Linked DNA regions of Sus scrofa. The protein of the gene in region 1 purifies or fractionates together with the protein of each later gene. This does not show direct contact. Links are inferred from orthologs where the notes say so. Each region holds a gene or a part of one and is shown on either strand. Other genes may lie near its edges. The genes, in order: TMPRSS6 and HFE2.

Region 1 (3,808 bases):
GGCCACAACCACGCCAGACCTGAGCCACAGCTCATGGAAACATTGGATCTTTAACCCACTGAGCAAGGCCAGGGATCGAACACGCGTCCTCCCAGATACTAGTCTGGTTCATTACCACTGAGCCACAGTGGGAACTCCCAGCCACAGTGGGAACTCCCAGAACTCAGAGTGGCTGAGATACTGACCCAGAGTCACACAGTGGATGAGAGGTGGAGCCAGGATGATAAGGCAGAGTGTGGACGCCCCACATACCAGGCTGTCTCCCACATCTGGGGCTCACTCCCGCACCCCTAGTGCTTCCTGGCAGAGCACCCAACCTCCCTGCTTCACAGGCTCCTGGTGAGGTTTAAATGACACCCTTATGGCCCGGGGACTTCTGCTGGTCCCTGGAGCCTACATCAAGCACGGAGTAGGTGCCCAATAACAATGCTGAGTGAATGGATGGATGGATGGGTGGGTGGGTGGTATAGGTGAAAATGGTGACAAGTCACAGGACTTTCTCCCCAGCTCCACCTTCTCCCTCCCCGCACATCCACCTAAAGAAGAACTGTCACTGTGCATACTGAGCACCTGCTGTGTGCAAGGCACTATGCTGAGAACTCGGACATGCACCCTCCCTAAACTCTGGGACAACCAGGCTAGAATTGTCATTGCCCCCATATTACAGAGGACAAAACTGGGCCCCAGGAAAGACTAGGTGGAGATTAGAGGAATCTATGTTTTCTGGCCCAGGTCTGTAAAATGGGAACAATGAAACTATTTCATGGAGCTCTCGGGAGTTCTCATTGTAGCTCAGTGGGTTAAGAACCTGACTAGTATCCATGGGGTTGTGGGTACAATCCCTGGCCTTGTTCAGTGGGTTAAGGATCTGCCGTTGCCAAGCTGTGGCATAGGTCGAGGATGAGGCTCAGATCTGGCGTTGCTGTGGCTGTGGCTTTAATGGGACCCCTGGCCTGGGAACTTCCATATGCCGTGGGTATAGCCCTCAAAAATAAAAGAAACACATTTGATTCCCGGGAAGCACACCAAAATAATAACAATAATAAAATAAAATAAAAATAAAAGACACACGTAAAAAAAACAAGCCCCAACCCCCAAAAAACTATTTCATGGAGCCATTAAATGAGATGGTAGGTGCATGGCCCTGAGCTCAGCTCCCTGCAGGCATCAAAGCGCTGGCTAAGTGCCATCTGTTTATTCTCGTGGTTTGGTTATCACTCGCTTCCTCCGCCTGGGCGGCCTCCCAGCCCTCCTGGAACATACCCCCTTCTCTTCACCTGCAATGAAACCCTCAGCTGCTCCTCTTACTGCTGGGCACCTCCCAACCCCCGAACTAGTCCCCAGTCTCCCGGCCTCCCCAGCCTTGCTCCCAGCAGCCAGAGGAGTCTATGATTCCAGCCCCACCTAACCTTCCATGGCTCCCGTGGCCACAGGAGGAAAAGGCTCATTTCCTGGCGTGATCTGAGCCCTGCCTCCCTCCTCCAACTGGCCCTCCTGCCTTGGAGTCCCCTGCCCGCTCAGCCGGCAGCCGTCACTGTCCTGCCTGCATCTGTATCTGTCCCCGATGTTTGTTGCTCCCGGGCAGCGACAGAGCCTTGCTCTGGTACTCGCCAAGTGCAGCAGGGGAAGGAATGCATGAGCCGGTGAACGAGTGAGTGGGTGAGGAGGCTGAAGATGGGAGCAGCAGCGGGACAGAAAGATGGGACTGAGCACCTCGGGGCTGAGCCCCACCAGCGGCTCTCCCGCCCCCAGCCCTGCCCGGGTGAGGACCTGACGGGGCTGGCCCCACCCCAGGTCTCTCCTCCCAGCTAACAGGAGTCAGGGGGCCTGTCCCTCTCCCCCACTCCAGGCTGCTACCGCTATAGCTACGTGGGCCGGGGCCAGGTCCTCCGGCTGAAGGGACCCGACCACCTGGCCTCCAGCTGCCTGTGGCACCTGCAGGGCCCCGAGGACCTCATGCTCAAACTCCGGCTCGAGTGGACGCTGGCGGACTGCCGGGACCGGCTGGCCATGTACGACGTGGCGGGGCCCCTCGAGGGGAGGCTCATCACCTCGTGAGTCCCTGGGAAGGCGGGGCGGGGGGCGGGCAGGGGGGGTGCTGGGAATGGGAAGGGGATGGAGGGGTGGGGTCAAAACCACCCCCAGATTCTGAGACAAGGGGCTGTGTGACGCTGGCCCCCGCAGTTGGTACCTGGGGACAGGGAGGCTAGCCCAGAAGGGGGTGGCGAGGGGAGACTGTACCGTGGGCAACCCCTCCTCCTCCCCCCGCCTCAGTTTCCCTATTCGTAACAAAACAGTTGCACTGGGAGTTCCCTTTGTGGCTCAGTGGTAATGAACCCAACTAGTATCCACGAGAACTCAGGTTCGGTCCCTGGCCTCACTCAGTGGGTTAAGGATCCAACGTTGCTGTGAGCTGTGCTGTAGACCACAGAAGCAGCTCGGATCCCACGTTGCTGTAGGGACTGCGGCTGGCAGCTGCAGCTCCGATTCAGCCCCTAGCCTGGGAACATCCATGTGTCACGTGTGCGGCCCTAAAAGAAAAAAAAGTCAGCTCTGGGAGGTGACATGATCTTGCTAGAATGCTTCAGAATCTGGCAGCCCCAGACTTCCGGCCCCACTCTGCTACTTCCTAGCTGTGTGCCCTAAGGCAAGTTACTTTGCCTCTCTGAGCCTCAGTTTCCTCACCTGTAAAAGAGGTGCACAACCACGCTTACCTTGCCGGGTTATGGTGGGAATTTTCATCAGTCCCTCTGTGCCAAGATCCTCACACATAGTAAGCATCAGTATCACTGTACATTAAGCATACCCGTTAAACATCCCATGCCATCCACTATCCCTCATCATCTAGAGTCTAGCTGGGGCTGGGTCATAAAGGGCATGGAATGCCAAGGGCAGTCTGAATGTTCACACTTGGTCAGCGAGGAACGAACGGGAAATTCTTGAGCAGAGGAGCAGGACTTTAGGATAAGGCGTGGAATGCAGGAGGTGGGCAGGGGGTGGGTGGAGGGGAGACCTTGAAGGGGCTGGAAATGACCTTGGCCTCCAGGAGCCTGATCACCTTCCTGCAGGGTGGGGGTGGAGTGCCGTGGATCTACAGGGTTCTGTAGGAGGTGGGGGAAGCACTGGGGCACGAGGCTGCTGCCTCCCCTGTCTTGCTTGGGCCGGCTTCCCGGCTGCGTGGGGCTGGGACCCGCAAGTTCAGATCAAGGGCTGTGCTGGAGGATGCGCTGGGCCACGTTCTCCCGGGCCCCCTTCCACAGGGCCTCTCTGAGTCTCTGAGCTGTGAGGCTGAGCCCTCCTCTGCAGCCCCACCCCGCCCTGCCAAGTGGTGACCTCAGTCTGGGGTGTGCGTGGGCTGGGTTCCTGGAGGGCTCTGGGAAGCTCAGAGAAGCCAGACACCATCTGATTTCCAGGCCTGATCAGAGCGGGGACGCTTCAGGGCTTTCCCTGGGCTTCTCCCAGGCTCCACCCCTCCTCAGCCTGCTGTGGCCGGCTGAGCCCTCTCCCCACTCCCTGTGGCACCAGCCTGCTTACTCCCTCTCAGACCCTCGGAGAAGCTGTAAAAGGATGGGTCAGACAAGACCGAGGGGTCCTCCAACGCACCCCAGACCACGCGGGGGCACCTTAGTGGTGATGGGGAGACAGAGTCGGGGTCGGAGGGGGGGAAGCCTCCACACTTTCACCTTGTTTTAGTTACAACCAGGGCTCAGCTGCTAAGTAAGTAAAAAAAGTTTCCAACATTAAAAGCGACCATTTAAGGTGACCTTGGGGAGTTCCCGCTGTGGCTCAGCCGGTTAAGAACCTGACG
Region 2 (4,520 bases), on another chromosome or scaffold:
CCCTCTCTCTCTCCTTTTTGGTCTCAATCTCAGAAACTCCCACAGGAGAAGGAAAACTTTCCTTTCTGTAACTCCTCAACTCAGGGAGTTACTTTCCTCTCAGCAATATTCTCTTTAGGATTTTCTGCATTAAAGTGAAATTTTGACCAAGGGAATGTGATTTACAGCAGCAAGTGTTTGGTAGGAAGGAGTGAATCAAAATGTGGGAGTAGTTGAGGATGAGAAGGAATAGGGAGCATTGCTGAGAAATAAAGAGATTGGCTTGGGAGAGGTACCCTGGGGTGACCATGGAGGATCTGAAGAAGCAGTTGAGTCCCTGACCTTCTGAGTGGTGGTGGCGTTGGCCCCCAATGCCACGGGGAAGCTGGTGGCCTGGACAAAAAGGAAGTCATTATCCAGCAAAGGCCAAGCTCCTTGGACACGGCAAGTGTGAAAGTGGTGGTGGAAGCTGCGCACGTGAGGGTCCCCAAAGGAGGCGCAATGCAAGAAGCCTGGAGGCTGACCGTGCAGCTGGGAAAACCGGCCTTCATAGTCACAGGGGTCTGGGGCTGGGGCGCCGGAGGAGCGGGCGGGGCCTGCTCCAGGAAGAGCGGGGCCGCGGGGAGGGGGAGGGGCCGTGGGGCCTTGGCGGGAGCAGTTGTGCTGAATCATCAGGTCTTCGATGCCGTGCACAGCAGAATGGAAGGCCAGGTCCCCGCGGCAGGTGCGGGCAGTGCGCCGAGTGCAGAGAGCATAAGAGCGGAGGGCTCTGCAGAGGCCACTGGAGCCCAACCCTCCACCACGGCCTCCTCCTCCACTTCCTCCTCCTCGCAGGGCTCCTGGTGAACCCCCACTTCTAAGGCTCAGGGTGGAAGATACATACTCAGCATTGCAGCGGAGGATCTTGCATTGAGAATGAGCTGAGGACAGAAGGGAGAGAGGATTTTAAGGTGGCCCCCAGATCCTGGCTATACCATAACACTCCCAAATCTCATCAAGGGATTCCAGCGTATCCAAAAACCCAACAGAGAGCCTTACCCACTCCCCAGCCCCCAGGCCCCAGGTTCCTAGTCTTGTTCTCATTCGGATTTGCTAAAAACGTGTAAGCCCTGCTAGATCTCTTCTCCCTCCGGATCAAAAGCTTTCCCAGTGCCCTTTCCCAAGTTGAGTAGAGAATAATACATACCTATCTGAGAGTGGGGCGAGTGACTGGGACTCCTCAGCCCCCATCTCTTCTCACACATGCGCACATGCCCACCCCTACATAGCAGCCTACCCTCTAGATTCCCCAAACCCTTACCTAACCCTTCCTTACCATGTCCACAGAGGAGCAGCAGGAGAGTGAGAATGCTTAGAGTTGGGGGACTGCCATGGGGGGACCAGGGACTAGGGAACTGGCCTGGATCCCCCATACCTATCCAGCCAGGTCCCCCCAGGCTCCGGTTCTTTCCAGTTGATGACCCTCCTACCTAGTGAATTTTGACCAGACGTCCTGTAAGGGGCTGAAAAAAGAAATTTGGCTGTGCAGGGGGAAAGAGAAGAGTTGAAGATTGTTCAGAATGGTGTGAAGAGAATCTGCGGAGATCAAGAAAAGTTTGAGCAGACTGGAGTTTGGGGAGAATGGGGGTCCCTGAACTAAAAATGTGGCTGTTAAGCCTCTGTGACCTGCTTTTGTGGCTACTTTCAGGTCCCTTATGCAATACTCCTAGGTGGGGGTGGAAGAAAGGTTGAATTGACTGGGGGGGGGGGGGCAGAGTCCACTGTATTGCCCCATTCTGAGCTACCAATCAGCAGAAATGTCAAAAAAAAAAAAAAAAAGAGGAATCATGTGGATAGTGGGTTCCCCAATAGAATTAGGATCTGAAAAGTACTTCAGAAACATACCTCTTACTTGCCCTTCCCCATCAGGATGGGATACTCTCCAGGGGTCATTCATTTCTTTTTCTCCTTTGTGTCAGAATTCTCAGCAAGAAGTTGTAAAGGTGGTATACACATCCCCTCTCTAGAATACCAGTATTCAAATGAAAAGGGAACCCATCTCTTTCATATACTCTAGAGAGCTAAAATTATATCTCTCTCTCATGGAATAATGGGATGTACACCAAGCATGCAAATCAATGTTTGTTGTGGGTCAACAGTTCTTGTATTTTTCCAAACCTTACTGAAGAATCATTCATTCCATTAATCTTTCCTTTGCAAGTTTAGAAGTTCTCAGTCTTTTGATGTGGATGGGGCTTGAGGAGGGACTAACTCTCTCTTGCCAAACTACCCTCTCCAAGGGTAAGGATATGACTGAGGGAGAGTCATGTAGGAGGGAGAGTAGGATGACTGAGACTAGAGTCATGGGGAGAAATCATTTACAACAAGGAGTAGCCCTACCCTTAGAAGCCCAACGTGAAGGGCACTACTAAGTAGGAGCAGGGTAGAAGGGTAGCAGTGACTAATCATCTGAGGTTAAATTTGGCCTTGGTGAGAAAACCACAGAATAGGAGATATGGGAACCTCCTACTAAAGAAAGAGACTTCACTAGTAGTCTTGAGGCAACCAGATGAGGAGAGAGCCAAGACTCCCAAAGGAGAGACAGAAATTTAAACTTCTAATGGCCAGAGAACAGAAAGAAATAAGACAGAAGGAGAAATGGACACTGGGGCACCTCAGTATGGAAGAGATCCTAGCTTTCAGACCAGAGACATCCAAGAAGGTGTCTTAATTTTATGAAAGTCTAACTTCACTCCAAAAGCTTATTAAAGGAATTGCAATTTCATTTTGACTTACTGTTTCCAGACGTCAAATATTAGTCTGATATCCAGTTCTCCAGCCATGACTGTCTACTGTGTCAGTCAGCTCCAGCCAGGGGATCCCCCGTCTCTTTCTCCATGTCTTCCCCAGGTCCCCAGACCGGTGGCAATCTCACTGAGGTCAGGGAACCAGAGAAGGTCTGATGTGGGGGGAAGGGAGAGTATATGGCTGGCCAGAGTACTGGACAGCTGAGCGGGGGAGGGAGGTGGCTACTGAGTTGACTGTTTTAAAAATAGCTAAGTCCAAAATTCCAGGAACATTGGTGGGGGTAGGGTGTTGGAGTTGGGGGAGTGGGGAGGGTAGGAGGATTGGAAAGAATATGGAGTATAGGGTGCCAAGTGCGGAAGGGGGGCAGAAATATGACAATCAAGTCAGATGTCCAATTTGAGCTTATATAATTCTAGTTAGTGCCTACTTCAGGCAGCCCTGAAGTATTGTTAAAAATGAGCTCTTGACCTTTAAAAATTAGAATGGACAATTGTATACATTTTGTTCATCACCTTCAAGCCTGCTATGTTAAATATGGCATTTAGTTTCTACAGAACACATCTAGGAGGTAGCTGACTTTAAATAAGGTCCATAACAGAGATAGTTCACAGCACCCCCACCCCCCATCTTTGCAGAGTAAATCAGATGGACTAAAACAGCCAGCTGTCTAGAGAAGAAATCTGAGCTCTGAGTTGTTTAGGATGAGGGTTTGTTTCAGTCTACTAGCTCAGATCCTTGCAGCTGTCTACCCTACATCCTCCATTTTCATTCCCTTATTTATACAGCAATTCCTCTTCCCCAAAATACACACAAAAATATAAGCTCCTGAGTTGCTGGGGGGAGAAGGCTAGGAAGGGCAAGAAGAAGGAATGGGGATAGAAAATTTGAAGGTTATTAATCCACAGAGGAGAGGACCTTGGAGAGATAAACTGAGAGAAAAAGAGATTCAGAAAGATATTTTTGTGGAGTAAGATAATCTGGTGACCTCTTATAAGATGTTGCAGTCAAGGAATTTAGCCATGTCATATTTTAGCAGCCATAGGCATCATCACCTCTTAGTATTTGCCAAGTGAAATTAACACAAGGGCCGACCTCAAATAGTGTCACTAATGCATCTGCATTAATTTGCTCTATACTTAATTCAGAATCTAGAGGCCCACGGAACACTCTTCTCTTTATTTTACATGTGTATCTGAAAATTTTAGTTTTTCTCTTGATGCCATGAAGCCATATCACAAGGGTTGTTTTTGGGTTTTGTTTTGGCCGTACCCATGGCATGCAGAAGTTCCCAGGCCAGGCCAGGGATCAAACCCTCACCACAGTGGTGACCTGAGCCACAGCAGTGACAACACTGGATCCTTAACCTACTGAGCCACCAGGGAACTCCACAAGGGTTTATATTACAAAAGTGTAAAATGACTCCAACCAAACTATCCAAGTGACTTTAAAACACAATAATTTGGGAGTTTCCTGGTGGCCTAGTGGTTAAGGATTCAGCATTGTCACTGTAGTCAAATAAATAAATAAATACAATAAGTTGACTATGAAATCCCAAGTGAGATTACTCTAAGGACAAAAAGAAGTGCAAAATATTTTAAAGCAGTCATGTTGGTGGTAGTGTTGGTATTGCTATTCTGAAAGCTTTGTGGGTATATCGTGGGATAAAACAAATGAGTAATTACATTCTTGTGAACCAGGATTTTAGAGGTAGCATAAAGAGGTACAGATTTATGATTGAAGTAAAAACGCTACAA

Evidence for each region.
Region 2: the proteins of TMPRSS6 (region 1) and HFE2 purify together in Homo sapiens (co-immunoprecipitation; 3 studies listed by IntAct). This does not show direct contact. The link is inferred for Sus scrofa from reciprocal best matches to the Homo sapiens genes TMPRSS6 and HJV.

Annotation. Positions count from the first base shown.
Region 1 is NC_010447.5:10,680,312-10,684,119, forward strand, and holds part of TMPRSS6 (transmembrane protease serine 6), read left to right. Parts: intron 1-1,849; coding exon 1,850-2,054; intron 2,055-3,808. UniProt on the Homo sapiens protein: Membrane-bound serine protease. Through the cleavage of cell surface hemojuvelin (HJV), a regulator of the expression of the iron absorption-regulating hormone hepicidin/HAMP, plays a role in iron homeostasis.
Region 2 is NC_010446.5:99,326,448-99,330,967, reverse strand, and holds the start of HFE2 (hemojuvelin), read right to left. Parts: upstream 2,980-4,520; 5' UTR 2,755-2,979; intron 1,982-2,754; exon of another isoform or gene 1,482-1,981; 5' UTR 1,392-1,481; coding exon 1,295-1,391; intron 900-1,294; coding exon 322-899; intron 1-321. UniProt on the Homo sapiens protein: Acts as a bone morphogenetic protein (BMP) coreceptor. Through enhancement of BMP signaling regulates hepcidin (HAMP) expression and regulates iron homeostasis.